Sus scrofa: one gene and its partner. The protein of the gene in region 2 purifies or fractionates together with the protein of the main gene of each other region. This does not show direct contact. Links are inferred from orthologs where the notes say so. Each region holds a gene or a part of one and is shown on either strand. Other genes may lie near its edges.

Region 1 (15,254 bases), on a different chromosome or scaffold from region 2:
TTCTAATACAATTTGATGCGCTAAGAGTTGAATTGGCTTTCCCTGTCCTGGACGCCTTAGCTGATTTGGTCGAAACATCCACCTGGAAGTTCTGTATTTTAGAACAGTGTTTAGTCCCTCTAAATTGTAAACTCCATGAGACTGGCAGTCCTGTGTATCTCGGGCATCACTGAATCACCAGCCCTTGGCACAGTGCTTGGCATGTTGCAGGATTTAGTACTTGTTAACAAGCACGGGATCCAGCTGACCAAGGGACACGTTGGGAGTTTTCCCTCCTTAAGTGAAGGCTGTTGTATCATGCTGGTTGCTTTCTGAATCCTCTGTTCCTTCTGGACTCCATGGTTTACCATCCAGCAAGGCTTTCTTGAGTCGTCTCCAGAAGATGTGCCGCCCCAGGACGCTGTCCTCCCACTCCAGGTAGGTATTCCTGCTGAGAAGGCGATACAGCTCCACCTGCTGCCGCAGCAGGGACTTCTCCAACTTCTGCAGGACGATGAAGATGATGCCGGCATGACTCCTCAGAAACTGCCAGGTCTGGGCAATCTCATACTCAAAGATACACCATCGGCTCTGTATGAAGTGCTGGGACACCACGACAATAACCTTCCGACTTTTGTGGAAACCTTCCTGGATGATGTTAGCAGCGATGGCCACACCGGGAATGAAGTCTCTGTAGTGAAGGCAGAGATGAAAAGGGGGCACCCCCTCCTCCAAGTTCTTTACCAGTTCATTCCTCACCCAGTCTTCGTCCTGGCTGGAGTAGATAACAAAGGCGTCATAGGTGCTTTCACCTCTGCCATATTTTTTGCAGCCCACAAAAAGCAACAAGTGGAAATAGAACTTATAGACCAGGATTCCTGCCACAGATACCAGGAGGAAGGTGAGAACTGACGCACTAATGACGGCCTCGCTTATCTGACAGGTGGCGTTCCTGAAACTCAGCACAGGCAGGTCCTGCATTTCTAAAGGTTGTGTACACACCATTTGCTCAGCTCCCACAAGGAGCTGCTTCTGGTCCTTGACCCACTGCAAGAAAGTCTGGTGTTCACACGCACAAGAAAAGTCATTCTTAGTGAGATTTAAAAAAGCTAGGCTCCTTGGCAGATGCTGTAGTTCTTGTTCCTTGGAGGCCACGATAAGATTGTAACTGCAATCCAGAATCCTGAGGGAGTGGAGTGGTTTATAAGGAAGTGTATCCAAGAACAAGAGTCTGTTGTGACTCATATTTAGCACCTGAAGCCTAGGGAGGGAATGAAATGCCCTCTGGGATACCTGTTCCAGTTGACACTTAGAGAGGTCCAGGAGGATTAAGTTAGTCAGATCTGTGAAGACATCAGGAAGCAAGTTGTTCTGAAAAGAATTGCCAGCCATTTTCAAGGTTTGGAGGCTGACCAAGCCAGCAAAAATGCCACGGAAGACAACGTGGATGTTAGTATAAGAAATATCAAGGTAATGGAGGTTTCTGAGTGATAGGAATATGGAAAAGTCATTAGCCTGTTTCAAACTGGAATGCTGGAAATCCAGGTATTCTAGTTGCTCTAAGCCCATGAAGTTTGACTTCATGGTAATGATTTCATTGAAGCTCAGATCTAAATGCTTCAGTTTGGTTGTCCCAAATTCATTGTGAGAACAGCAACCTTTAAAGCTCAAGTGATTTCCACTGAGATCTAGAAACTGAAGGTTTGGCAGGTTAATTTCAGTAAAAGTGTGCATATGTTTATTGTCTTTGAAAACAAACTTTTTGAGAGAGTTGAACTTCAATGCAGGAAATTGTTGAAGTTTACAGTTAACCACTTCTAAGTGTTGCCACCTGAAATCATTAGGAAGGGCTTCTAGACCACGCAAATTCAGACTCAACAGAGAAATCACAGAGGCATTTGCCAAACAATTAAATAAGTCAGAAACATCATCTGGGAATTCACCAAAGTGTGCTATCCGGAACTGTTCAAGGGTCAAATTGCACAGTTCCTCCAGGACAGATTTGTCAAAACTTTCCAAGTTCCTTTCATTTTTAAATTCTCCCAAAACCAACTGATTGATTTTTGAACCAGCCAGACCTTGAATACAAGTTTTCATTACATCCGAACTATTAAAATTACTTCGCAAAGTCAATCCATTGAGCCTAATTTTGTTAAAGGCACCTGGTTCAATAAAGTTTAAAGGGTTCAGGGACAAGTCTAAAGAGAGATTGAGTAGGGGCACTTGATGTAGAACCTGCAAGTGTTCATGATAAATATTTTCGATTTTGTTCTTAGAAAGATCCAAATGCTCCAGGTTGGGCAGGTTAGAAAAATATTCAGGTAACTTGAAAGAATGGATATGATTGTGAGCCACATTAAGCTCCTTCAAGGTTTTAAGATGTCCAATGGGGAAGTCCTCTAGAGACGCTAGGTTTGTCTCAACGGCAACCAGCTTCTGTAAACTTGGTAGTCCAGAAAAGGCTCCCAGGGCTAAACTCTGGATAGGATTTCCCGTCAGTATCAAGGTGGAAAGGTAATTTAGGCCCTGATATGCATCATCGTCAATTGTCTGAATTTCACATCTATAGGGAAGAAAGGTACAGATTATATAATGTTTCTGTTGAATAAAAAATTAGAATGAAATATTAACCCAGTCATCTAAGTCTTCACACAGACGTGGCATGCCATATGATGGTGCATAGGCAAACATATCAAGTGAGGCAGATAAAGCAATGAAGAGGCCCACAAATTTGGTACAATTATACTGGCCACCATCACTATCTTTTTGTCACACTAGGTGCACCACACTAAACAGAGGCAGCTCATCCATCAGAGGGAAATCAGTTAAAGATCAATACTGGGGACCCATGAAGACAGAGCTGTGGATCAACTTTCGACATTTCCTGTCATGTAAAATTGTGATTATATATGCAGTTGGTGCATATGACACAGATAGTTGGTTGTTAGCCATGATAAATAACTGGTAAATTTCAATTTTAAATATATAAAAGATTACATCAAAATAACAGATATCTTTAACGTTCATGAAAAGATTTCTATACAAGGGGGCTTTTAGAGAAGCAGAGTATTAAAGACAAAGAGAACATTTTACTTGGAAGCAGCAGATACGGACATGAATTTCTGGTCTGCCGTTATCAAGACATGTGAACATATATGAACCTCTTAAACTCACCTTCTTTCTCCTCTACAGAAAGAAAAAAATATGTATCAATAGATTTCCATAGGAAAAAAAAAGGCTGACTGGTCTATCACAAAGCATCTTTAAAAGACAAGCAGAGGTACTGTACTTAAGCAGTGTGAAGCAGTATGAAAAGGCAGAGTTTAGGGAATTGGGTGGACTGGAAGTTTGGGGTTAACAGATACAAACTATTACATTTAGAATGGATAGACAACTATATCCTACTGTATAGCAAGGAATTATATCCAGTTTCCTGAGATAGACCATGAGGTAAAATAATGTTTTTTAAAAAGAGTAACTGAGTCACTCTCCTGTAGAACAGAAATTGGTACAACATTTTAAATCAAACATTAAAAATGAAGAAAAAGAAAAGGCAGAGTTTATCTTTTGCACTATTAATTGTCCTTGCCCTAATCCAGAATCTCCTCCTGGCTAACCAGGAAGGGAAGCTGGCCATTCTCTAAGCACATATTTAAAGACTCTGAGAGTCATTCCTTGGGTATGTGGTGGGTCGAAGATGATTTATAATAGACAGCGTTTGATAAGAAACCACTTCTTAATCTTTTTTTTAAAAAAAGAGGGTTGGTTTGTCTACTTCAATTCCATAGAGTTCTTGTACAAAATTCAGTATAGTTCTTGACAGAATTCTTACTCAGAAAACTGAGATTTTTATAAACTAATGGAATGCTCTAATAGTATTTTATACTTATAAAGTCTACTTTGTGAGGTTGTTAAAATACATGGCATGTTAATCTTCAGTATCACAATTAACCATATGGGATAAAGATCATCATTTCTGTTTCACAGATGTGAAAACTGAGACTTAGGGAGTTGAAGCGACACTCCTCAGGCCATATGTCAATAACTGTTGGAGGAGGACCTGGCTCAAGTCTTCTGGCCTCCGTATGGCTCCATGCCACTGCCTTTAAAATGCTCCATTTCCCCCTTCATTACAGTCTATCAATGTCCATGTTAGAGCATAAAACGTCAGATGCTTACCCTTCTACAGGAACACCTACCATCCTCTTCACCTTTATTAAGAGTTTCTATAGTAAAATGTCATATATACAGTATTTCTTCATGTTTTACAAACTCTTTAAAGATTATAGTCCATTATCTAGTACATTTCTAAATAAGGTCCCTGATGATGAAAATCATTTTAGGATTCAATTCCCCCAAAAATTATGACAATAACTCCACCTATGCTAATGAATGATATACTTCCCTGAATTAGAAAATAATCTGAGTCACTGTTCTTTCTCACCACAGATGTTTTCCTTTGATCTTGTAATCTTTCTCTTTAGGTTACTTGTTTCTTCTTAAGTCCTGGTCCTCTACCTCACTTTCAATATTCCAGACATTATTGGCATCCCGCTCAGTTTGTGAAATCTGTCTTGATTACTCGCTGCATAGAAGGTCTCTTTTCTAAATAACATGATGTGTCACCTCTAGTTTGCTAATAACTTATCACCTATCCTTATCTCAGGTTAAAAATACGGAATCAGAATCAGGTAACATCTTTGAATGTCTATTCTGTGCCCAGCACCCTGCTCAGGATTTTAACATATTAGTTCTTTCAAGTGGATAGGCCCTCCTTTATAGCTAGGGTTGTATGTTATATATCAGCAGACTCTTGTTTCCCAGCAGAGTTAACAACATATAGAAAGTAGTCAATTAATATCTGCTGATGAAAGAGTTGGAGTCAATTTACTTCCCTGACTTAAAATCAAAGATAGAGTTGTCCTGAGAAACTGACTTATCCAACTGCTCATTTCTGAGATAAGAAAGCTGAGACCTGGAGAAGGAGGTGGCTTACCCAAAGTTTTATAGCAAATAAGACATCTGTTGAATGAATGAATAAGTGAATGAAGATGAGACTCTACTAATCAAGCTTTCTTACTTAAGAATTAAATGAAAGAACAATGAACATTTTGCTCTGGATAGTGGTAAAAGCTCATGCATTACCTGGATAAATCCAGCACCTGCAGTTCTGGAAAGCTGGAGAAGCTATTGCTGTCTAAATGACTCAGGTAGTTAAAGCTCAGGTCCAGTATCTTGACTGATGTGGGGATGTTGTCAGGGATTTTGTAGAAATTCAGCTCCATGCATTGGTAACTAATGTTAGGAACCACCTGAAATAATCAGACATTAGATGCAGTGTCTTCCTGCATGCACCCTAACAGACTTCCCTGCATCTCCCCTCTCTTAGACCAGAGCCTAGGAGGCCACTGGTATAGGCACAGGGGCCAGTCAACCTTCTTTCATCCATCCATCCTTCCATCCAATCTTCTGTTCATCTATCCACCCATCCATTCCTGTATCCACTCACTTCATTCTTATAAAATATCTTTTTCTGGATTAGGAAGGGAAAAGGGAAAACTACTCTGTACCCAGTGTTTAACCTCTACTACCACAATGGCACCATTTATCGTGAAGCAGTCAAGGCAAGTAGTGAAGAGCTGAGGCTCTAGAGTCCAAAAGCTCTGGGTTTCACCCTAGCTCTTCCCTGTGATTTGAGGCAAGGAAGGCCATTGTTTTTCTGAATATAGCCTTCATTGTATAGAAGCTTAGGGAAGCGGCCAGTCAGATATCCAGATCTCTCTTAGCCATACCCCAGTTTTTGGCATTGTATTCTTTCCCTTGGATCGCTGACCTTTGAGCAGACGAGATAGAAATGGGGACATATCTTTGAGGTGCATGGACTCCAATGGTAGAACCTAGTAAATAAGATCAAGTGCTTGATGCTGCCTTGGTTCCTCTGCTGGTTTCGATCATATTTTCTCAAATTCTTTGTTAAGTCTTGTTCTCTAACCTCCAGTTTAATTTCCTAAGTCTCTGATTTCTTCAACAAATTTCCTTGCTTAAGCCAGTTAATTTTGGTTTTCAGTTTAAAACCAACAGAATCTGTTAAAAGGATTAATGGGATAAGGTATTTAAAGGTATGAAATCCTATTACAGTGTAAATGATCAATACATGTTAACATATATTATTATTGGCTATTATTAATTCCCCACTATATACCGGCTTGTTTCTTATATGTAACATACCTTAATTTAATCTTCAAATAAACCTTTTAAAGAAGAATTTAGAAAGATGAAGTAATGTGTGTTAAGTTTTACAGGCCATAGTGCAGTTCTTTGCTTTATTCACTTGTCTCCTAAAATATTATTCCCCATAGGGTCCTCACAGACCATACTGTCTAATACGTGATAGTTCAGGCATTCTTCCCTTGCCTTCTTTTATCCTCCCTCACAGGACGAATCACTATGTAATATTATGAACATATGTTCCATATATACTATTCATTTTCCTCACTAGACTGCAAGCTTTGAAAGTCTAGCTCTCTGCTATGTCTGCAGCAGTCAGAAGGTGCCTGGGAAATAGTTAATGATCTATAAATATTTGTTGAATAAATGAATGGATAACTGCTTAAATAGATGTTTATTCAAAACCCAGTTGAAGGCATTTTCTGCTAAGTGCTATAGACAACACAAAGACCAATGGGATATGGCTCTAGACTTCAATGAGCTCACAACTGAGAGAGTTAAAAGAAAAGCACAAGTTAGACTCCTGAAAAGGGGATGAAACCAGACTTAGAACATTTTCTCCTTAGTTCATTAAAAAGTGGAGATCAATACTGGATCCAGAGATTATAGACTGTAGAAGGCTTCCAAGAAAGAGAAAATTTCAAGGTGGGTCTGGAAGGATGAGATTTGGATACATGGAAAGGAAGGAGAGGAAGGAAGAGGGCACAGCAAGTACAGAGGGGTGAAAAACTAGCTCAGATTAACGTTGTGTGGCAGGAGTGGCAAAACCTCAACCAGAGGGGAGGGCCAGATAGGAGGCCTCGTACTTTGTTCTGTGGCAATGCTTTCAATCACATTTAAATGAGCAACTATAATGTGAGATGCACTGGGATAGAGTCATAACTAAAACCAGAAATTATCTTGACCTCTTATAGATTCCATTTCAAGGAAAATACAAGCAATAGACAAATAAAATATATATTTATATATATATATAAAACATAGGTAATACATGTTTTATATATATATAAAATATAAATATACACCTATATGTGTATGTGCTACAAAAATGTGCTATCAAAATAAAGCAGCATAGGAAACTAGTGGCAAATATGGGGGGTGAGGTGCTCTATGTGAAGCAATCAAGGAAGACTTATTGAAGGAGGTGACATATAAGCAGAAATCTGGATGAAATGAGGGATTAAGTCATAAAAATATCTAGGGCTGTACTGTCCAATAGGGACATACTGACCATAATGAGCATAAGAAATATGGATAGTTTAAACTGAGATATATTGCAAATGTAAAATATATACTAAATTTTAAAGACTTAAAACCAAAGAAGGAATGTAAAATATATTATTAATGCTTTAGTATACATTGCATTTTGAAATAATATTTTGAATGTACTGAGTTAAACAAAAATATTATTAAAATTAATTTCACTTTCTTCTTTTTATATTTTCATGTAGCTACTAGAAAATGTAAAACTACATTTTAAATTTAGTTTAAAAAGTTAACTTAGTTGAATAAAAATTTAATTAAATTTAGTTACTTAAATTTATTATTTAAATAATGTCACATGACCCTATGATATTACCACTGAGCACCACAGATCTACGGGGAAGGCATTCTAGCTAGAGGAAATAGCCACGGCAAAGGCCCCATGGCAGGAAAAGGTCCTGATAGCAATGGAGAGTTAGTGCAAGTTTTTAAGGATGGTAATTTGTTAGAACTGAACCTCAGGAAAAACTGCAACAAACAAACAACAAAAATGTACAGGTTAGATTAAATGACAGGGACAATGGGACATGAGACTAGTCCCTGTCCAAGAGTCAAGGCCAAGGGAACTGAGGATCTGCCCCAGAGTGATCCTGGAGGGAAGAGAAGGGTTGGGCAAGCTTTGGAAATGGAGAGTATTGGGAGCATGGGAGAAGGAGGAGCCACATGGTCCCCACTGCCACCCCCCTCCCCCCCTTGGTTTTATCCTGGGGGGAGCATGATTGGAGGATCTATACCTACTAACCTAACAGCAGGAAAGACACAGAGAGGAGGACAGTGAGAAGGGAATTGGGGAAACAGAGGACTTGCAGATAACAGATTTGTCTTTGTTACATATCAAAGTATATTGTTTCTTCCATGTCCCCAGTGCCAGGACTCTGGCAGGTTATGCTTTTCTTGAGTTTCTGACCCTGCCACATCCTAAATCCAGGACATTCTTGTGGCTGTTTGGGTCTGCCATGGGCTTCCAAAGCAATTGTAAAGTCCATGCAGTGGAAGAACAAACAAAATCCATCAGTAATGAGATTATGAACCAACTGATTGATGTTTCACAAAGAAAGCAAGCATTACATTAGCTGATATTTTATAACTTGTCTCTTTTTTCCTTCTTTCTTCATTCCTTTCTCTCTCTCTTTCTCTGTCTCTCCTTTTCTAACTTCTGTCTTTTTATCGTTTGGACAGAACTATGACCAGAAGTTGGAAATCTGCTTAGAAATTTCTATTAAGAGACTAAAAATATCTTCCTGAGATTGAAAGGGGCAAATAAAACAGCTCAAAGCAGAGTATGCAAACCACCAACAGAAAGGAATGACAGGAAGCAGGCTTCTTGCAACTCTGTACTGAAGCCTATAATTCTTTTATGGATGTGAAAACTAGTCTAAGAGAGGTTGGGTAACTTCTTCAAGGTCACACAGCCCAGAATTGGAAAGGCAGTGATTTTAAACAGGTCTATCTGACCTAACGTCCCATTAGCCCTTTAAGTCCTAGGTGGGACAAAACCCCATGGGCTGCCTATTAGTGCGCTCTTACCATGAATTTTTTGGTCCCTTTGGTCTCTTAAGTCTTTAAGGTAATTTGACTTCTGTTTGCTAATGAAACTAACCAGGGCTCACCAAGGGAAGCTCTAGGCAGAGAGCAGTTTTTCAGAAGCAAGGCAAAGCTCAGGGGAAGCTGAGCAGACTCCTACCACATACCTGCACGCAAGGGTCCCAGCTCTCAGATCTCAGGCAGGAGAGAAAGGCCATGGCTGGGATCGTGGCCACAGCCAGGCGGATGCGAGGAATCATCCTGGCATTTTCCGTGAACAGAAGTGACCCGGAGAAAGCATGACCCTCTGTATCTGCTGGTCAGAGCAGCCTCCCAGGCACTGCCGTCTTCTCTCCTCAGCACACTGCCCGGGGGCACTGACTCTATTCAAAGCAGCACTGGGTTAAGGGGTAAGAGGAAGTGAGAATGGCAGCCTTCGCATTCTGGACTTTTGTTTCTCTAATATTTATCTCCTCTGTCACCAGAGGGGAAGTTAGAAGAAGAAGAAGAAAACCTGTAGACCGGAGCTGGAGTAATAGCAAGAGGAAGCTGGCTTTTATCCCAGGAAGTCATCTGACCTCAGTGTTGTTGAGTTTAGGAAAACAGTCAGACTGGTCAAACAGCCTGTGTGACTAACTGCCTGGGACGGTGGCTTTCCACTTTTGTTTTACTAGTGGAAATTTACTGTCTGTGTTAGTTTGCTAGGGTTGCCATAACAAAATACCACAGACTAGGTGGCTTAAACAGCAGACGTTGATTTCCTCACAAAGTTCCAGAGGCTGGAAGTCTGTAGTCAAGGTGTCAGCAGGGTTAACTGCTTCTCTCCTTGGCTTGTAGATGGCTATCTCTTCCTTCTTGTGCCAAAGTTCTTTCCTCTTGTGTGTCTCTGTTCTAATTTCCTCTTCTTATAAGGACTGCAGTCATACTGGATTAGGATCCACCCATATGATGTAGTGACCTCCTTTTACCTTAATTACTGTTGTAAAGACCCACTCTCAAAATACAGTCACAGTCTGCAGTACCAGAATAAAGACTCCAGCACATGAATTTTGGCAGAGGATGCGATTCACTCATAGCACTGTCCAATTTTATGAAATCTTGTGAAGAAGCCCACATTTATGAAACATTGAAAATAGGGCTCCAGGGAAACACCGTTTGAAAAGTACAAGAATATTGGGAAAAGATTGGGATGAAGAATCAAATATACTGAAATTCAAATCCTGGCTGGGTGGTTTATGGCCTTGTAGCATTGGTCAAGTCTCTTAAACGACTGAGACAATTTCTGGTCTGTAAAATGGGATAATAGTTTTAAGCACAACAGAAATTCACCTTTATAAAGTTTATAACAATAAAACCATGTGATAGTAGTCAAATGATGCAAGCCACGAAAGCATTCGTTTTCTGGTCTTTAAAATGGATATAATCACATTCATATTGTGTGACTGAATTAAGCTGATTTACATAAAATGCCTGTTCTACTGCATGGTTCATCAGGATATTCCTCAAATTGGAGGCTATTAAGATGATTAAAAATATGAATAAAATGAGGGTGCTAATATGTACCTCAAATTATTGTTATGGGATTAAATAAGGTGGCATTTGTAAAGCTTTTAGGACAGATTATGTTTAGAGTGTAGAAAGCACAATGTAAGTTTCTGTTAAATAGGAACATAGTTTAAAATGGTGCCATTGCTGGTATTGTGTCCTAAATAGTTCCACCAAGATATCCATCAAGGACCTCAAATCCAACACATCTAAAATCAAGCTGTGAGGGAATGGGTCACAGGGGACGGAGCACAAACTCTTGCAAACTTCTTCAGCACTCATGTAAAATTAAGCTAAAAATAGTCCCAAACATTGCTTTGAGGATTAATCGAGACCATGTAAAGGTCTTCAAGTCATGCCTGGCACAGAGTGAGTACCCAATAAAGCTTAGTTCCCTTGAAAGTTAAAAACATTTCACTTCCATAGTCATCCAAAATGGATATCTCTTTGACTTCCTCATTTCACTCATCAAATGTGTATTAATGTTGTTTTCTTATTTCTGTATTCTTGATGCCCAGGCTTTGGGGACCTGGCTCATGGAGCTAGACTGAGCTGGCCAGTTCTTAGAGATAGCATATGATTTTTTTCTGGAGCATACCTTTCATGTGCAAACTAACCAAACCAGAATCTGTACTCTGAACCCCCTCCCCGGTGTCTGGCCTCTATCCTCTTCTGCCCTAATCATAACAGGGCCAGGTACCAGACAAGTAGAGAAAGCCCCTACACCCCAAACCCTGCTGACCTTACTCAAACTAGCCAATCCTAAGCCTGCTTACCCTGCCCTTTCTTGCCTTTCCCAAAGGAGCCACAGTGAAGAGTGCCTTCCCCTTGCTCCTTCTGCCTCCTGAGGGTCTCTAGTGCTTTCCCATGTGGCTCTGCAGGGTGTCCTGTGTCTCCTCTTAAACCATGAGTAACAAACTACTGTTTCAAGAGCAATCGGCTCCTGAAACCTGCATAATAGTAGAATCAACACTTTAAAACAAAACATTCCAGCAAGCCTAGAGATTTCATCTGTAAAATCATTTCTAAAGTATCAGTCTTCATTTCTATTCACATGATGATTGAACACATTCCTTGGCCTGCAGTGTTGCAATGCACTGTTAAAGGTTCTCCCAGACCCCCAGTTTGAAAGAAAACACACTTTAACCCTTAGGAAGATGATGCGCTTCTTTCAAAGTCTCAACCCTTCCAATCCAGCCTTTATCCTGAAATCGAAGCAATCTTCCTAAAATGCAAGTAAAACTAGCCATGTCAATAATGGTCTGAGGCTGTGTATCATCTAGATTTCAAGCCTCTCATTCTACCCCCCACTAGACACACACACAGAGTCACTGATGGTTTCTGCTGTACAGCACCAATTCTGTTCTACCCTATGGAAAGAACACAGAACTCTCAGTGGGTTATCTGTGCCACAGCCTTAGCATCCTTTAATATACATTTCATGATATTTCAAATAAATTAGTAAGAGTGTACAATCACAACATAGCCTGGCTCAGAGAAGAAAGGCCCTCGATGTTGGGCATTGCTAAGAACCAAATCTGATTCCATCCAACAATTCTAAGTTTCACATTTTTTCACATGTTAACATCTCTCAAATCAGAATATGTCTCAGAATTGACAATATATTACAATTATTATTGGCAGACTTATTTTGGCTTTCCTTGTGGCAAGTGAGATAATAGTACATCTAATGATCATGGGTACATTATATTCAATGAGGAATAGTCTGTCAATAAGAAAACCAAAAAAAAAAAAAAAAGTGAGGGGCTCTTTTCAAGTCAAGAAAATAAATGGTTAGATAATAAAGATGATTGTTTCTTAAGTACTCCTTGGAACAAGTGCTGTACTAATGGGTGTTTTGCATCTACAAAGAAGCTAGAGGACTCAAGGTTTCCTAAACTTTTTGAACCATGGTGATTCTCTTTTATCCTTCAATACCCATTACCAGCCCTGTATCCATTAGCATGCCCTGAAACCATGTTTCTGTGATCTACAGTAGAAAAAAACATTGCTCTTAAGCAGAAGCGTGAAGGATAGTCTTCTCGCACCAAAGACCCAATTCCTGTCTCTAGGGCTAAGGTTGTCACATTAAGTACTGCCCTGTACATCTCAGGATTTTTCTCCCCAAAACATCTGGTACCAGGAGCAAGAGAGTGTACCCCACAGGAGCTATCAAGGCAAACAGCCATAGTAGTGCCTACTGCTCCCCAGCCTGAAATGTCTATGGCATTTCCTGTGTTATTTTTTAATACATTTCATTGAGGTATAGTTGACTTACAAGTTGTGTTAGTTTCAGGTGTACGTCAAAGTAAAGTAGTTATACATATACATGTATCCATTCCTTTACAGATTTTTTAAAAAATTATTTTGAATTTCCTATCTCCGTATTATCTGTCTCTGTACTAGACTAAAAACTCCATGAGGACAGAGGCTTTGTCTACTGTTCACATATATTGAATGCATGGGTAGATACTCAGTAAGTAATTAGTGAATGGGTCAATGAACAATATATCTGAATTTGTTTTTTAATATGTAGCCGGTATTTTAGAGTATCTGTCACCTTTCCATACTGAGTAATGATATTCTCTTATAATATGTTCAGTAATTATTCTGTGGCTTTCTTCTCATTATTTTTCTTTTAAATACTTGTTCTTTATACCTTTATGGTGTTATACTTTTCTGCCTCCTAATAGTCCCTGAAAGTACATGTACCTCAGTTTAAGCAACACAGAGAATAGTAGAGTTACAGTAAGTGGATTAGGGTAAAAGTCCTTATTGCCATAAAAACTGGCTTCTCTTGAGGTAGAAAAATCCTCTTTGTTTCTTTTAGCCATGAACCTGAGGCAGTGGCTGGTTCATTATGGCAAGACAGTCTTCTCTCTTTGTTCTATCTCTGTCCTCAACCAAATCATTCAGCAGATCTCTGCTTGTCCATGCAGACCCTGGAAAATACAGTGTAATATAGAGAAGGCTATACTTTAAAATATTTTATTATCCTCTTTACTTCCTGGCATCATCATTTTCTGGTATGTAACTTATCTTCAACATCACTGTGTTTCCTTAACTGTACAAGGAAAATAACATTGTGGCCTCATTAGTAATATTATTTGGAAGTTAAATGAGATAATACATGTGCATGTACTTGGAAATGTTACAATTTTACACAAATTTTTACTAACATTCACTAATTCAGTCATTCACCAAATACGTATTAAGTGGTTTTACATCTGCCAGGCACTTTTTTAGGCACTAAGCATATATCAGTGAAGAAAAGAGGCACCTTGGCTTGCTTTGAGCTCATGTTCTAAGGAAAGCGCTAAGAGCAATTATAAATAAGTACATTGCATAATGTGTTAGAAGATATTAAAATCTATGAGTATAAAAATGAAAAAAGTCAATAGTATGATTCAATGTAATTGATACTAAAGTTTTAAACAGGGAAGTCAGTATGGGCCTCACTGAGAAAGTGACATTTTGAGAAAATTCTTTTTTTTTTAACAAATAAATGTAGAGTTTATTTTTCCCATATTCCTATTAAAATAAGTTCAGAATTTTCTGTTAGAAGTAAACATTTTTGAAAGAGGAATTAGTGCCCATCCTCCTTAAACTCTTTCAAAAGGTTGAAGAAGAAGGAATACTCCCAAAGACATTCTATGAGGCCACCATCACCCTCATTCCAAAACCAGGCAGAGATACCACCAAAAAAGAAAACTATCGCCCAATATCATTGATGAATATAGATGCAAAAATTCTCAACAAAATCTTAGCCAACCGAATCCAACAACATATCAAAAAAATTATACACCATGACCAGGTTGGGTTCATCCCAGGTTCACAAGGATGGTTCAACATACGCAAATCAATCAACATCATACACCACATTAACAAAAAAAAGGTCAAAAATCATATGATCATCTCAATAGATGCAGAAAAAGCATTTGACAAAGTTCAACATCCATTCATGATCAAGACCCTCGCCAAAGTGGGTATAGAGGGAACATTCCTGAATATAATCAAAGCCATTTATGATAAACCCACAGCAAATATAATCCTCAATGGGGAAAAACTGAAAGCCTTCTCACTCAAATCTGGAACAAGACAGGGATGCCCACTCTCACCACTGCTCTTCAACATAGTTTTGGAAGTCTTAGCCACAGCAATTAGACAAACAAAAGAAATCAAAGGCATCCATATAGGAAGAGAAGAGATCAAACTGTCACTGTATGCAGATGACATGATTCTATACCTAGAAAACCCTAAGGACTCAACCCCAAAACTCCTTGAACTGATTAATAAATTCAGCAAAGTGGCAGGATATAAGATTAACATTCAGAAGTCAGTTGCATTTCTGTATACCAGCAATGAAACATTAGAAAAGGAATACAAAAATACGATACCTTTTAAAATTGTACCTCACAAAATCAAATACCTCGGAATACACCTAACCAAAGAGGTAAAGGACCTATATGCCGAGAACTATAAAACCTTAATCAAAGAAATCAAAGAAGATGTAAAAAAATGGAAAGATATTCCATGTTCCTGGATTGGAAAAATCAATATTGTGAAAATGGCCATCCTACCCAAAGCAATCTACAAATTCAATGCAATCCCTATCAAATTACCCAGGACATTTTTCACAGAACTAGAACAAACAATCCAAACATTTATATGGAACCACAAAAGACCCAGAATCGCCAAAGCAATCCTGAGAAACA
Region 2 (15,108 bases):
TCCAATCGGAGCTGTAGCTGCCAGCCTACACCAGAGCCACAGCAGTGCAGGATCCGAGCCGCATCTGTGACCTACACCACAGCTCAGGGCAACACCGGATCCTGAACCCACTGAGCAAGGCCAGGGATCGAACCTGCAACCTCATGGTTCCTTGTTAGATTTGTTAACCACTGCACCATGACAGGAATTCCATCGGATCAACTATTCTTTCCACCTCTCAATGGCTCCTAGGAACAGCTCTGTGTATAGTAACTTTTTTTTTTTTTTATGGCCACACCTCCAGCACATGGAAGTTCCCAGACTAGGGGTTGAATCGGAGCTGCAGCTGTCAGCCTAGGCCGCAGCCACAGCAACACTAGATCCGAGCCACATCTACGACCTATACCACAGTTTGTGGCAATGCCAGATCCTTAACCAATTGAGCAAGGCCAGGGATTGAACCTGCAACTTCATGGATACTAGTCGGGTTCTTAACCCACTAAGCCACAATGGGAACTCCCTATAGAACTTAAAAAGAAAAAATCAGGCGTGTTGACATGCACCCTCCAATTTTTTTTTTTTTTTTTTTTTGGTGTGGCTGCACCTATGGCATATGGAACTTTCCAGACTAGGGGTCAGATCAGAGCTGCAGCTTCCAGCTTATGCCACAGCCACAGCAATGTGGGATCTGAGCCATGTCTGCGACCTATACCACAGCTCACAGCACTGCTGGATCCTTAACCCACAGAGCGAGGCCAGGGATAGAACCCACATCCTCAAGGATAGTAGTTGGGTTCGTAACCCACTGAGCCACAACAGGAACTCCACACCCTCCAATTTTCAACTAATAAAGAGCACAGCTCAGAGTTCCCATTGTGGCTCAGCAGTAACGAATCCGACTAGTATCCAAGAGGATGCAGTTTTGACCCCTGGCCTCACTCAGTAGGTTAAGGATCCGGCACTGCCATGAGCTGTGGTGTAGGTCACAGATGCGGCTCAGATCCCACACTGCTGTGGCTGTGGCATAGGCCAGCAGCTGCAGTTCCAGTTCAGCTCCTAGTGTGGAAACCTCTATATGCCATAGAAATTAAAAACCCTAAAAATTAAAAAAAGAAATTTAAAAAAGCACAGCTGATAAAGGGTAAAGGACAGGCATGAGTGGAGCTGGACGTCAAGTTCTGTTTCCCAGTGTTCACTCTGAAAATTCAAGCTCAGTACTTAGGATCCAAGTCCTATTGTCAGGTTCTACATCAATAAAATCTTAAAAGTGGAGTTCCCTGGTGGCTTAGTGGTTAAGGATCCAGCATTGTCACTGCTGTGGTGCAGGTCTGATCCCTGGCCTGGGAACTTCTGCATGCCATGGGCGCAGCCAAAAACAAACGAAAAAACAAATAAAAAGTTAAAAGGACAAACGTTCAGACTGTGAGAAGCAAACAACTTAGCTGCCAACATAGAACAGAGGAGTCTGTATGAAATTCTCATGTTCTGAGTTCTCCTGGAATCCAGGTATTCAGTGAGAATGGAGTGTCAGCTGCCCTTGTCTAGGAGCCAAAAGCTGCCCCCTCTATGGGACACCCACCTGAAATGACTCCCCTCCAGGGCAAGAGAGGGCAGTTGGTGGGAGCATGCCCGTGGGGTACAAATCTCAGTTGTACTGCTTCCAGGCTGTGACCTTGGACAGGCTACCTGTACACTGGGGCCTCAGTCTCCTCATCTGTAGAATGGGTACAAGGATTAGCCCTCCCTTCGAGGGCTGCTATTAGTTGAGTTAATCCACATAGAAATGTCACAGAGCAGTGCCTGGCATACCATCAGAGCCTTTGGTGACTGATAGCTGCCCACCCCCAGCAGGCACCCAAGCTGGAGGCCCCCTCACTGGACATCCCCACAACAGAGGCTCAGGGCTGGGCTTGTGGAAAAGTAAACAGAGCCAGCCAGACTCAGAATCAGTGAGGCAACCCTGTCCTCACTGGGTATATATCCAGACAAACCTATAACCCAGTGTTCACAGCAGCACTATTCACAATAGCTAAGACATGGAAGCAACCTAAATATTTACTGACAGATGAATGGATAAAGGAGATGTGGTACAGATACACAATGGAATATTACTCAGCCATAAAAAAGAATGAAATAATGCCGTCTGCAGCAACATGGATGAACCTAGAGATTATCATACTAAGTGAAATAAGTCAGAAAAAGACAAATATCATATATAATATCTAAAATATGACAAAAATAAACTTATCTATGAAACAGAAACAGAATCACAGACATACAGAATAGATTTGTGGTTGCCAAGGAGGAGAGGGAAGGGGGGAGGGATGGAGTGGAACTTGGGGGTCAGCAGATGCAAACTATTATATACAGGATGGATAAACAATGAAATCCTACTATATAACACAGGGAACTATATTCAATATACTGTAATAAACCATAAAGGAAAAGCATATAAAAAGAATACAGGAGTGCCCGCTGGAGTGCAATGGGATCCAGGGTGTCTCTACAGTGGTGGAGACATGGGTTTCATTCCCAGCCTGCCACAGTGGGTTAAGGATCCCAATATTGCCATAGCTGTGGGGTAGGTTGCAACTCTGGCTCAGATTCGATCCCTGGCCTGGGAACCCCATATGCCATGGGGCGGCCAAAAAAAAAAAGGGAATATATAGGAGTTCCGTTGTGGCACAACGGACAAGGAGTTAAGGATCCAGCATTGTCACTGCTGTGGTGAGGGTTTGATCCCAGGTCCAGGTATTTCTGCATGCTGCAGGTGCGGCAAAAAAAAAAAAAAAAAAAAAAAAAAAAAAAGAGAGAGAGAGAGAGAGAAAGAGAACATACATATGTATAAATGAATCACTCTGCTGTACTGCAGAAATTATCACAACATCGTAAATCAACTATACGTCAATAAAATTAAAAATAAAGAATCAGTGAGGCAGGACTGCCCCTGCCTGCACTCCTGGCAAGTTACCTAAAGTCACACAGTGTTTCTTCTCCATCTCCCCGCCTGCCAGCCTGAGCCCCGATGCAGTGACTGTGCCAGCTGTGGCCCCCTCCCCAGATGCTGTTCCTTGGTGTGTCCCCTGTGCATTCAATCTGCCCTGGCTAGAGGCCACCTCAAGCTTCCAGAAACCTGGCTCCACCTTCCATGGCCTCCGGGACAAAGTCCACTTGGCATCTGACAGTGGGTGCCAGGGCTAGGGGAGGGGAGCACCTACAGGGGTGGGGATCTGGGTCCACCCCCTGCCAGCTGGCAGGACCTGCTTCTCAGCCTCTGTTTCCTTGTGCATAAAACGAGCAGAGGAGTTCCCGTCGTGGCGCAGTGGTTAACGAATCCGACTAGGAACCATGAGGTTGCGGGTTCGGTCCCTGCCCTTGCTCAGTGGGTTAACGATCCGGCGTTGCCATGAGCTGTGATGTAGGTTGCAGACGCGGCTCGGATCCCGCGTTGCTGTGGCTCTGGCGTAGGCCAGTGGCTACAGCTCTGATTCAGCCCCTAGCCTGGGAACCTCCATATGCCGTGGGAGCGGCCCAAGAAATAGCAACAACAACAACAACAACAACAACAACAACAAAAAAAAAAAGACAAAAAAAGACAAAAAAAAAAAAACGAGCAGAAAAGCAGCCCTCCTCATGAGCGACAGCTCAGTGTAACAATATAAAAAAAGCCTACGAATCAGAAATAAATACTGGCAGAATCTCTTTTTTTTCTTCTTCTTTTATATTAGTTCACCACATTGGGATTATGCCCACACCTTCCTCTCTTATCGATACTCTTGTGGAGTGGATATTAACCGAATGCCTACTCTGTGCCAAGAGCTGTTCTAGATGCTGCTGCTGAGCCCCCGCCCCCCCCCCCCCCCGGCCCTCTCAGAACTCCAGAGACCAGGAATGAAGGAGAAAGTAATTTGCAGAGAATAGAAAGAGCTGTCGAGGACATGAGCCAGGGTCAGGGAAGGCAAAAAGGACTGGGGGAAAGGCTGCCAAGGACTGGGGATCAATGGAGGCCTCTGGAAGTGACAAGTGAGCTGAGACCTGAAGGAAGTGAGGTTGTAACTCACATGCAGGCAGATCCAGGGAAAGAGACTTTCAGGCAGAGAGCTGGGCATGTGCAAAGGCCCTGGGGCAGGACCATGCCTGGTATGCTGGAGGAACAGGGAGGAGGCCAGTGTGTCTGGAGCAGAGTGAGGGAGGGGGAGAGAGGGAGGAAGGGAGGGAAAGGAGGGGACAGGGCAGGTCATGCAGGGTCTTACGGGCTATGGTGAGGACTTTGACTTTTACCCTGAAGGAGATGGGAGCCCTGGAGGGCAGTGGGCAGAGCAGTGATGGAAGGGACTCAGCTGCTTACAGGTGCCCTCTGGCTACTGCAGGGAGGACAGGCTATGGTGGGGGCCAGGGGGCGAGGGCAGGAGAGCTGGGTTTTGTGGGAGGACCAGGGTGGAGGGGACCACTGGCTCTGCTAAGCAATGATGGGAGCCAGACTGGATGGTGGTCTCCAGGAAGGAGATCCAGTGGATGGATGTGTGGATAATTTGGAGACACAGGAGGGGAGCAGGAGGGGGAAAGGATTCCTGGACATTTGAATGTGTGAGATGAGGAGGACATGGGAGCGGCTGGTTTGGGATTGGGGGAAGAAATCAAGAATTGTTTTTGGTTTTTTGCTTTTTTTTTTTTTAGGGTGGCACCTGCAACATATGGAGGTTCCCAAGCTAGGGGTCCAGTAGAAGCTACAGCTGCCCGCCTACACTACAGCCACAGCAACACAGGATCCAAGCCACGTCTGTGACCTACACCACAGCTCACGGCAATGCTGGATCCTTAACCCACTGAGAGAGGCCAGGGATTGAACCCGCAACCTCATGGTTCCTAGTTGGATTCGTTTCCACCGCACCACGATGGGAACTCCAAGAATCGTTTTTGACAGGAGTCACTTGATCAAGTCCTCCCTGCAGACCCCCATCCCTCCCACTGCCCCCCTCACTTCCTCTGATCCAGCCACACTGTTCCTTCAACACACCAGGCATAAGCCTGCCTCAGGACCTTTGCACTGGTTGTTCCCAAAGCCTAGAGTACCTCTCCCCAGATACCCACACTGCGGGCTCCCTCGCCTCCTTCAGGTCTGCCTGAAGGATGTCACCTCCTCACCAAGGTCAACCGTGGACACCCTGCTTAAAACTGAAGCCCATCCCCCACACTCCTTGCTTTATTTCTCTCCTTTCAAATTCCAGCCACCTGACACTATGGATTTATCCTATCAACTCTGTTGACTGTGCACTGCCTCCTACCAGAGTGAGCACCACTAAAACAGGGACGTTCATCTGTCTTGTTCCCAGCTGTATCTCCAGGGACAGGCACACAGTAGGTATACTTACATAAATAGATACGTATACCTTATAAATACTTATTGGCTGAATAAATGAATAAGTGGATGGAATAGTATCCGGCACACAGTAGGCACCTAATAAATGTTTCCTGTTTGACTCCTCCCTCCCCAAGAAGATAGTCTAATCTGCTCCCACCAGGACTGGCATATAGCAGGGACAAAATTCACTCCTTTTGGCTAAAAAAGAAATGTTCCAATGAGACCCGGAAGCCAAAACATAGCCAGACTGTCTCTGAAAAACATCAGGAGACTGAAGGGCATTTATTCAATAAATGTTTGCTGAGCACCTACCATGTGCTGGGCACTGTGCAAAGGAGGGGCAAGGCTGTGAGCTAAGATTATTTTGACTGCCTGTTTACCAGTGGGAAAGGGAGGCACAGAGAGGTAAAGTGATTTCGCCTGGGATCACACAGGTAGAAAGTAAAGCAGCAGGAATTTCAACCAGGCAGCCTGGCTGTGGGGCCCCTGCCTTTACTCACTAAGCACCTACTATGTGCAGTCTCCTTCCTAAGCCTGGATCTGAGGAATCCTCAAGCCTGGCCAATGGAGATGGCACCAGATATCTGCCCTCTGCATTTGGCACACACCCCTGTGACAGGCCACGCTTTTTACCCCATGTGGCTCCATGAGGACACTATTTGGCCCCTACTGTGTGCCCAGCATACTGAACAGTGTCTCCCCCACACAGCAGGTGCTCCATAAACGTTCTTTGAAGAAAGAATGAACGTCCCTTATTTGGAAGACACAGAGGCCCAGGAAGGTTCGAGAGCCTGTAGCACCCACCAACCCCTCCCCCCCAACTCTGGCACCTAGACACCAGGCTTCCAGCTTTCCTGGGTCACACTGGGGTGCCCCCTCCCCCAGACCCCTGTCTCAGCCACAAGGAGAGGGAAGGAACGCAGGTGCCAGGAAGAAGGCCTGGGGCCACCGGGCTCCGAGTGGTGCCAGAAACCAGTCCTGGATAGTCTGTCTCCTGGGCAGGTACCGACCAACCCAACCCCGTACCCCGCGGGAAAAGATGGGGAGTAGGGGGTGCTGAAGATTCCAGATGGGACACTTCGGACCGAGGCAGCGCGCTCCCGCAGGGGGAGCCCCCCCCCAACCAAGGCCCCGGAGGGGCTGGGGGAGGGGCGGGGGGCGGCGATCGCGGGCGAGAGGAACAGGGGCTGGAACAGACAGAGCGCCCAGCTCGGGGAAGAAATCAGAAATGTGGAGAAGGAATGGGGTGTTGGAGGGGAAGACCTGAGTGTTGGGGGAGGATTCGGGGTGACGGGTAAGAGCTGGGGGTCTGGGGAGGACTTAGGTCAGGGAAGGGAACTGGAGTATTGAGGGGAGCACTGAACACGCGGAGGGAGGCCGGCAGAAGTTCCAAGTGGGGGCAGCTGGCCTCGAACGCCGGCGAGGGGCACCGGGCCCCCTGTTGGCCTGCGGGGGTCCCCCGCCCCTCCCCGGCCGGCCCTCACCCCTTTCTCACCTACCAGGGAACCATGGAGACGGCCGCCGCGCTGCTGGAGTCCTCGGGGCTGGGGCTGGTGGCCTGACGGCCCGACGGCCCGACGCCCCGACCGCGGTGCGGGCAGCAGCCGAGGGCGCGCCGGAGGTTGGAGGCGCGCGGTCTCCGCCTGCAGCCTCCGCCTGCCCCTTCCGCGTCCGGGGAGGAGAGAGGAAGGAGGTGAGATCACGCTTTCCCAGCGGGACCGGGAAAGTCCCCGAGACACCCCAAATGACACCCTCTCTCCCTCTGCCCGCTGCCACGTTGGGCGCTGGGGACCACAACAGGGGCCCAGAGGGACAAAAGCCCTGCCCTCGGGGTCGCACAGTCTAGCAAGAAAGAACCACAATTTAAAAATTAGTTCATCTCAATTAGTAGTTAATGTTTACCAGGAAATCGAACAGAGGGGATGGGATAATTGGGGTGTGGAGGGGTGCAGGAATCATGGCCTTCCCGGAAGGGTTTGGGGACGCCCATGTCGTTGGAAGAGGGGCAGCAAGATGGCATATCTGGTTTGTTGTTGTTTGGGCCTAACCTTTGCAAGTGGAAGTTCCAGGGTCAGGGATCGAACCTGGAACCTGAGCCACAGCTGGAGCCACAGCAGTGGCAATGCAAGACCCTCAACCCAATGAGCCACCAGGGAACTCCAAGATGCATGATGGCATATCTTTTTTTTTTTTTTTTTTTTGGTCTTTTTGTCTTTTTTAGGGCCGCACCCACGGCACATGGAAGTTCCCAGGCTAGGGGTCCCTTTGGAGCCACAGCTGCCGGCCTACACCACAGCAACACAGGATCTGAGCTGCATCTGCGACCTACACCACAGCTCACAGCAATGCCAGATCCCTAACCCACTGAGCAAGGCCAGGGATCGAACCCACAACCTCACGTTTCCTAGTCAGATTTGCTTCCGCTGTGCCACAACCGGAACTCCCAAGATGGCATATCCTGAAGCTGCAAACAACCACTCCTAAAATTCACAGGAGGAGTTCCTGCTGTGGCACAATGGGATCTGGCTCAACGGGATCTGCCCTGTCTTGGGAGCACTGGCACCTGGGTTTGATCCTGGCCCACCATAGTGGGGTAAGGATCTCATGTTGCCGCACCTGCAACTTAGGTTACAACTGTGGCTTGAATCTGATCCCTGGCCTGGGAACTCCATATGGCTCAAGGCAGCATATGGAAAACAATGGAGAAAAAAAATTCACAGGAGTCTCAACCTTTTGGGGGTCCTGGACCCAGCGCTTGCAAATACATTCAGCATAATTAAGCCACAGTGCACCGAGTCCAGCATACTTTTAGGGGCCTGAAAAAAGAATTTTTTTTCATTTCTTTTAAAATCAGAAGAAAAAATGAATATAAGCCAACTTGGATTATATATGTCTTTATACCAACGCAGTTGTAAAATGTAATTTAATATTTTTAAATGCAGGAAGGGGCCCACAAAAGACATAAGTAATGTCTTTGGGCCCCTTTGTCATCTGGAACCTCTAGTCAAAATACTATTTGTAATGGAAAACAAATTTATGGTTACAAAGGGGAAAGGGGGTGGGGGGATAAATTAGGAGTTTGGGTTTAATAGATACACACTATTATACATAAAATTTTTAAAAATGGAATAAACAACAAGAGCCTACTGTAGAGCACAGGGAACTATATTCAATATCTTGTAATAAACTGTAATGGAAAAGAACCTGAAAAAATATGTATGGGTGTATAACTGAATCACTTTGCTGTACCCCTGAAACTAACACAACATTGTGAATCAACTATACTTCACTTTTTAAAAAAAATACCATTTGGTAGATGCATAAAACCCAGTACAAGAAGTTACAAGAAAGGCCACTGTGTTGAAATACAGTTATTAAAGTGTTTTAAAAAACTGCTTAGCAATCCATCCTTGGATGAATGGGTAAACAAAACAGGGTCCACCCACACAATGGAATATTATTCAACCTTAAAGAGGAAGGAAATTCTGACACATGCATGAAACTTATGTCCAGTGAGATGAGCCAGACATGGAAGATCAAACACTGATTCCTCGAATAGAAAGTCCTTAGAGGAGTCAGATCCAGAGAGACAGGAAGTAGATGGTGGAGCCAGAGGCTGGGGGAGGGGAAGGGGACAGAGTTTCAGTTTAGGAAGAAGGGATGGAGATGGATAGTGGGGATGGTTGCACGACAGTATGAATGTACTAAATGCCGCTGAGCTGTACTCCTTTTTAAAAAAAAAAAAATTATTATAGTTGATTTACAATGCCAATTTCTGCCGTACCGCAAAGTGACCCAGTCACACATATGCATATATTCTTTTTCTCAGTTGTTCTTCCATTATGTTCTATCCCAAGAGACTGGATAAGCTATACTCTTAAAAATGATTAAAAAGTAAGTTTTATGTCAAGAATATTTTACCACAACAAAACATTGTTTTCAAACCCTTGGCGAGGCAATCATTTCAAAAAGACTCTTGAGAGTTCCCGTTGTGTCGCAGTGGTTAACAATCTGACTAGGAGAATTCCTGTCGTGGTGCAGTGGTTAACGAATCCGACTAGGAACCATGAAGTTGTGGGTTCAATCCCTGGCCTTGCTCAGTGGGTTAAGGATCTGGCATTGCTGTGGCTCTGGTGTAGGCCGGCAGCTATAGCTCTGATTAGACCTCTAGCCTGAGAACCTCCATAAGCCGAGGGAGCGGCCCAAGAAATGGCAAAAAGACAAAAGACAAAACAAAACAAAACAAAAACAAAAACAAAAAAACAATCCGACTAGGAACCATGAGGTTGCAGGTTCAATCCCTGGCCTTGCTCAGTGGGTTAAGGATCCGGCATTGCCCTGAGCTGTGGTGTAGTTCACAGATGCGGCTCGGATCTGGCGTTGCTGTGGCTCTGGCGTAGGACAGTGGCTACAGCTCCAATTAGACCCCTAGCCTGGGAACCTCCATGTGCCTTGGGTGCGGCCCTAGAAAAGGCAAAAAGACCAAAAAAAAAAAAAAGACTTGAAATAGCACTATACCAAAACAAACATAGCTTAGGGTTCTTTCTCTGTGTGTCTCACCAAATAAGCTAACAAGGGCTATTAATCACAGCGATTTCTCATCCCCTCAGTTCAGAATTGAGAAAATGGGAACTATAGGTCAGAGCCAGAGAAAACAAAGATAGGAGGGTTTTTTCCCCATCCGTTCATTGGACACCCTGAATTTTATCACTGGGTGCCTGGATTCCAGTTCAAAGTTCAAAGTTTCTTGGGAGGAAAATGCAAATAGAAGTTATCTGGATGCAAAATGCTCCCGCCCTCCCCAGCCCTACCACAGGGCCTCACTTAGTGCCTGTCTCCTGCAAGGGAGAGACTTTATTGAATGCTTACTGTATGCCAGGCAGGCATGGCTAGGTTCTGGGGATGTATCGGGGTTGGGGTAGGGGAGAGAAAGAAGTGGTGATGCCTTTGGAGCTGGAGAGGGAGAGGGCTTTAAACCCACCTTCCCATGCCTCTCCCCTCATCACCAATTTTGGAATGTCCATTACATGCGTGTCCCCATGCCAAACACATCTTGGTGGCCCTCTGATCCTTGTCTTTTTTATAGCTGCTCCCATGGCATGTGCAAGTTCCCAGGCCAGGGATCAACCCCGAGTCACAGCAGTGACTATGCTGGATCCTTAACCCACTGAGCCACCAGGGAACTCCCTGATCCATATCTTAAAACAACCCTTCCAGGTAAGTTTGAACATGCCTGTTTTATAGGTGAGAACACTGAGGCTCAGAGAAGGTATGAGGGCTGGAGCATCCTGGCTTCCAGGGGAAACCAGGGGCTACAGATGGATACATTTGACCACCTGCAGACAGGTGTAGTTGTGCATCTCCCTTCTTCAATTAAAGAAATAAAAGTTCCAGTTGAGGTCCACATTCCTGTCCAATTTCTCTCCTTCCTGCTCTCACTTGGGAGCCCATTCACTCTCTTTTCTGCTTTTCACACATGGATACATTTCCCTGAAAGTCGTCTTTCGTATTCTTTGGTCTGGCTTTGCTTTTTATGCAGACTGGCCAGAAGTCAGCAAATTTTTTTTCTGCAAAGGACCGGAGAGTAAATATTGCTGATCTTATGGGCCGTAGTATCTTTATTACAATCACCTGACACTGCCTTTATAGTCCCAAAGCAGCCACAGGTGATGTCAATAAATGGGCGTGGCACTGTCCATAAAACTGTTTTTATCAGTGTCTTTTTTTTTTTTTTTTTTTTTGTCTTTTTGTCTTTTCTAGGGCTGCACCCTTGGCATATGGAGGTTCCCAGCCTAGGGGTCTAATCGGAGCTGTAGCTGCCAGCCTACACCACAGCCACAGCAATGCCAGATCCTTAACCCACTGAGCAAGGCCAGGGATTGAACCCACAACCTCATGGTTCCTAGTCGGATTCGTTAACCACTGAGCCATGACGGGAACTCCTCAATTTACAAAACCAAGTGGCAGGCTAGACAGTGGCCACAGTTTGCTGACCCCAGACAGATAGTTTCTTTCTTTTTTTTTTTTTTTGTCTTTTTGTCTTTTTGTTGTTGTTGTTGCTATTTCTTGGGCCGCTCCCTCGGCGTATGGAGGTTCCCAGGCTAGGGGTTGAATCGGAGCTGTAGCCACCGGCCTACGCCAGAGCCACAGCAACGCAGGATCCGAGCCGCGTCTGCAACCTACACCACAGCTCACGGCAACGCCGGATCGTTAACCCACTGAGCAAGGCCAGGGATCGAACCCACAACCTCATGGTTCCTAGTCGGATTCGTTAACCACTGCGCCACGACGGGAACTCCCACAGATAGTTTCTATATTTAGCTTTATTCTGTTGACGATGTCTCCAATATTTTTCCAAGCCAATAAATATAGCCTAACCTTGCTCTTTGGCTTGTTTGGTGGCCGTGCCTGAGGCATGCAGAAGTTCCTGGGCCAGGAATCAAATCCGAGTTGTAGCGGTCATAGAGCCACAACAGTGACAACCTAGATCTTTAACCACTGGGCCACCAGGGAACCCCCAACCTTGTTCCTTTTTAAGTGTGTTATGGTCTCACTAAGCGTGGCTGTATTACAGTTGCTGAGTCCACTATCACTGGGTACACTGGTTGCTGCCACTCTTCCCCCCAAGCAGGCATCGACACATTCTAGGGAGGTGGTTATGAACACAGTTCGGGGGAAGGGAGAGCCTCAGTGCTGGGTTCAGATCCTTTCCTTACTCTGACACTTATCAGCCATGAGGTGGGATGACAAGTGAGCCGGCTGAGGCGGGCCTCAATTTCCCTCCCTTGTAATCTGCTTCTTGGGCTTGATAAAAGGATTCAGTGACTTGGTTGACAGCATTTCTCAAGGGTGGCTTCGGAGAAAGGGAACTTCTGGGACTTCTCAGACGTGGAGAAGACACATTCTCACTCTTACTAAACACTGACGGATTGCTGTCCAAAATAGTGTGGCTATTTTCACTCCCATCCCCCGGCTGGAAGTGAACAAAAAGGCCCATTTCCTCCCTCATTGACCGCGTGTTACTTTCTCTTTCTTGATTTACGCTGAAGTGTCATTCATGGGCACCAAAGTCTACTAAAGCTTCACTGGACAGCTCAGTGGGTTTTTGCATATGGACACACTCCCTGTAGCCATCTCGATGTATAGAGGTCATTTCCAGCCCCCAGATTCCCCGAGGGTCCCTTCTCTGTCCCTACCCACCAGGCAACCTCTCTTCTGGTTTCTGTCCTCATAGTTTCATTTTGATTTGGAAACGTCATCAAAAGAGAATCAGTGTGTGGAGTTCCCTGGTGGCCTAGTGGTTAAGGATGCTGTGTTGTCACTGCCACGGCTCTGGTTTGATCCCTGACACAACCGGAAAAAAAAAGTAAGCTGGTGGAGAGTTCCTTGATGGTCTAGTGTTTTCACTGCTGTGGCCTGGATTCCATCCCTAGTCTGGGAACTGAAATCCCACATCAAGCTGCTGCATGCTGGGGCTCAAAAAGAATAAGAAATACACAAAATGTGTTCTTAGCTCATGAGCCATGCCAACAAACAAAAAGTCCTTGGATGGTATTTGGCCCTCAGGCCATGGTTTGCAGACTTTAAGTCTAAATCACAGTGCCTGATACACAGCAAATACTCATTACTAAGTGTCCAGAGGCAGGTTTTCTGTAGCATCTAGCTTTTTTTCCCACACCAGCAGCCTGCAGAAGTTCCTAAGCCGTGGACCGAACCTGCACCACAGCAGTGACCCAAGCCACAGCAGTGACAACGCTGGATCCTTAAATGCTATGCCAGCAGGGAACTCCTGTGGCATCTCATTTTGAATTTGTAACTGCACCTTCTTTTTCTTACCATTTCCTTCAAATGTTTAATCTTCTTTTTTGAGATGTAATTGACATACAACATAGTGTTCATTTTAAGTGTACAACATAATAACTTGATATATGTATATATTGTGAAATGATCACAGTAAGTCTAGTTAGCATCCATCACCTCTCATAGCCACAGATTTTTTGTTTCTTGTGATGGGAACTTTTAAGACTGAAATTGGTACAACATTGTAAATCAACTATACTCTAATAAAAAAGAAATTTTTTTTGGAGTTCCCCTCGTGGCCTGGTGGTTAACGAATCCAACTAGGAAACATAAGGTTGCGGGTTCGATCCCTGGCCTCGCTCAGTGGGTTAAGGATCTGGTGTTGCCATGAGCTGTGGTGTAAGTTGCAGATGAGGCTCAGATCCGGCGTTGCTGTGGCTCTGGCGTAGGCTGGCAGCTACAGCTCTGATTAGACCCCTAGCCTGGGAACCTCCATATGCCACAAGTGGGGTCCTGGGGGAAAAAAATCTTTTTATGTCTTTTTAGGGCCGTACCTGTGGCATATGGAAGTTCCCAGGCTATGGTCAAAGCAGAGATGTAGTTGCTGGCCTATGACATAGCCACTGCAACGCCAGATCCTAGCCACGTCTGCGACCTACACCACAGTTCACGGCGACACCAGATCCTTAACTCACTGAGCGAGGCCAGGGATCAAACCTGCAACCTCATAGATGTTAGATTCATTTCTGCTGAGCCACGACTGGAACTCACCAATAAAATTATTTTTAAAAAAAGAACTTTTAAGACCAACTCCCTTAGCAACTTTCAAATATGCAATGCAGTGTTGTTAACTGTAGTTACCATGCTTGTACATTACAATCCCAGACTCATTCACTTTATATAACGAAGTTTGTAGTTTTTGACCCCCGCCACTCATTTTCCCCATCCCCACCCTAAATGTTTCATCTTCAGATCCAACAAAAGTGGATACATCCAATTATTTTAACCATCTACTGTGTATATGTTCACCACACACTAGGCATTAAGAACACTAAAAACAGGAGTTCCCATCATGGCTCAGCGAAAACGAATCTGACTAGTATCCATGAGGACGCAGGTTCAACCCCTGGCCTTGCTCAGTGGGTTAAGGATCTGGCGTTGCCATGAGCTATGCTGTAGATCACAGACGTGGCTCGGATCTGGTGTTGCTGTGGCTGTGGTCTATGATGGTGGCTACGGCTCCGATTGGACCCCTGGCCTGGGAACCTCCATATGTCGCGGGTGTGCCCCCTCCCAAAAAAGAAAGAAACGGTGCCATTTGGAACAACATGGATGGACCTAGAGATGATCATACTAAGTAAGTCAGAGAAAGACACATATACGATATCGCTTATATGTGGAATCTAAAAAACAACACCTATAAAATATCCACAAAACAAAAGCAGACTTGCACACATAGAGAATAGACTTGTGGTTGCCAAGGGGGAGAGAGGGTTGGGGAGAGAAGGATTGGAAGTTTGGGATTAGCAGATGCAAACTATTACATATAGGGAGGGTAAACAACCAGGTCCTACTGTAATGCACAGGGAACTACATTCAATACCCTGTGATAAACCATAATGGAAAAGAATATAAAAAAGATTGCATGCATATATGTATGTATGAATGACTCTGTGTGTGTATTTATATATATATATATATTTATATATATATATATCACTTTATTGTACAGCAGAAATTAAAGCTAGAGAGGCAAAGGGATCAAACGGGAGGGACTGAGGAGCTGGCCAGTGGACCCAGGTTCCATCACCAAGTTGGAGTTCAGTGTCGCCAGGCCAGCTGCCTGTAAAGTGGGGATACCTAACTCGCAAGACCAAAAGGGTTTGTGTGTGCAGCGGGTGGAAAGGCCCTGGGCCACAGTGGGTAGAGAATTCAGTTCTAGTGTTTTCTCTGTGAATATTAGCACA

The links.
Region 1: the proteins of TICAM1 (region 2) and TLR4 purify together in Homo sapiens (affinity purification with western blotting; 3 studies listed by BioGRID). This does not show direct contact. The link is inferred for Sus scrofa from reciprocal best matches to the Homo sapiens genes TICAM1 and TLR4.

The regions. Positions count from the first base shown.
Region 1 is NC_010443.5:258,038,858-258,054,111, reverse strand, and holds the start of TLR4 (toll-like receptor 4 isoform 1 precursor), read right to left. Parts: upstream 9,503-15,254; 5' UTR 9,255-9,502; coding exon 9,162-9,254; intron 5,292-9,161; coding exon 5,125-5,291; intron 2,543-5,124; coding exon 277-2,542; 3' UTR 1-276.
Region 2 is NC_010444.4:73,996,392-74,011,499, reverse strand, and holds the start of TICAM1 (TIR domain-containing adapter molecule 1), read right to left. Parts: upstream 6,935-15,108; 5' UTR 6,841-6,934; intron 3,303-6,840; exon of another isoform or gene 2,951-3,302; intron 1-2,950.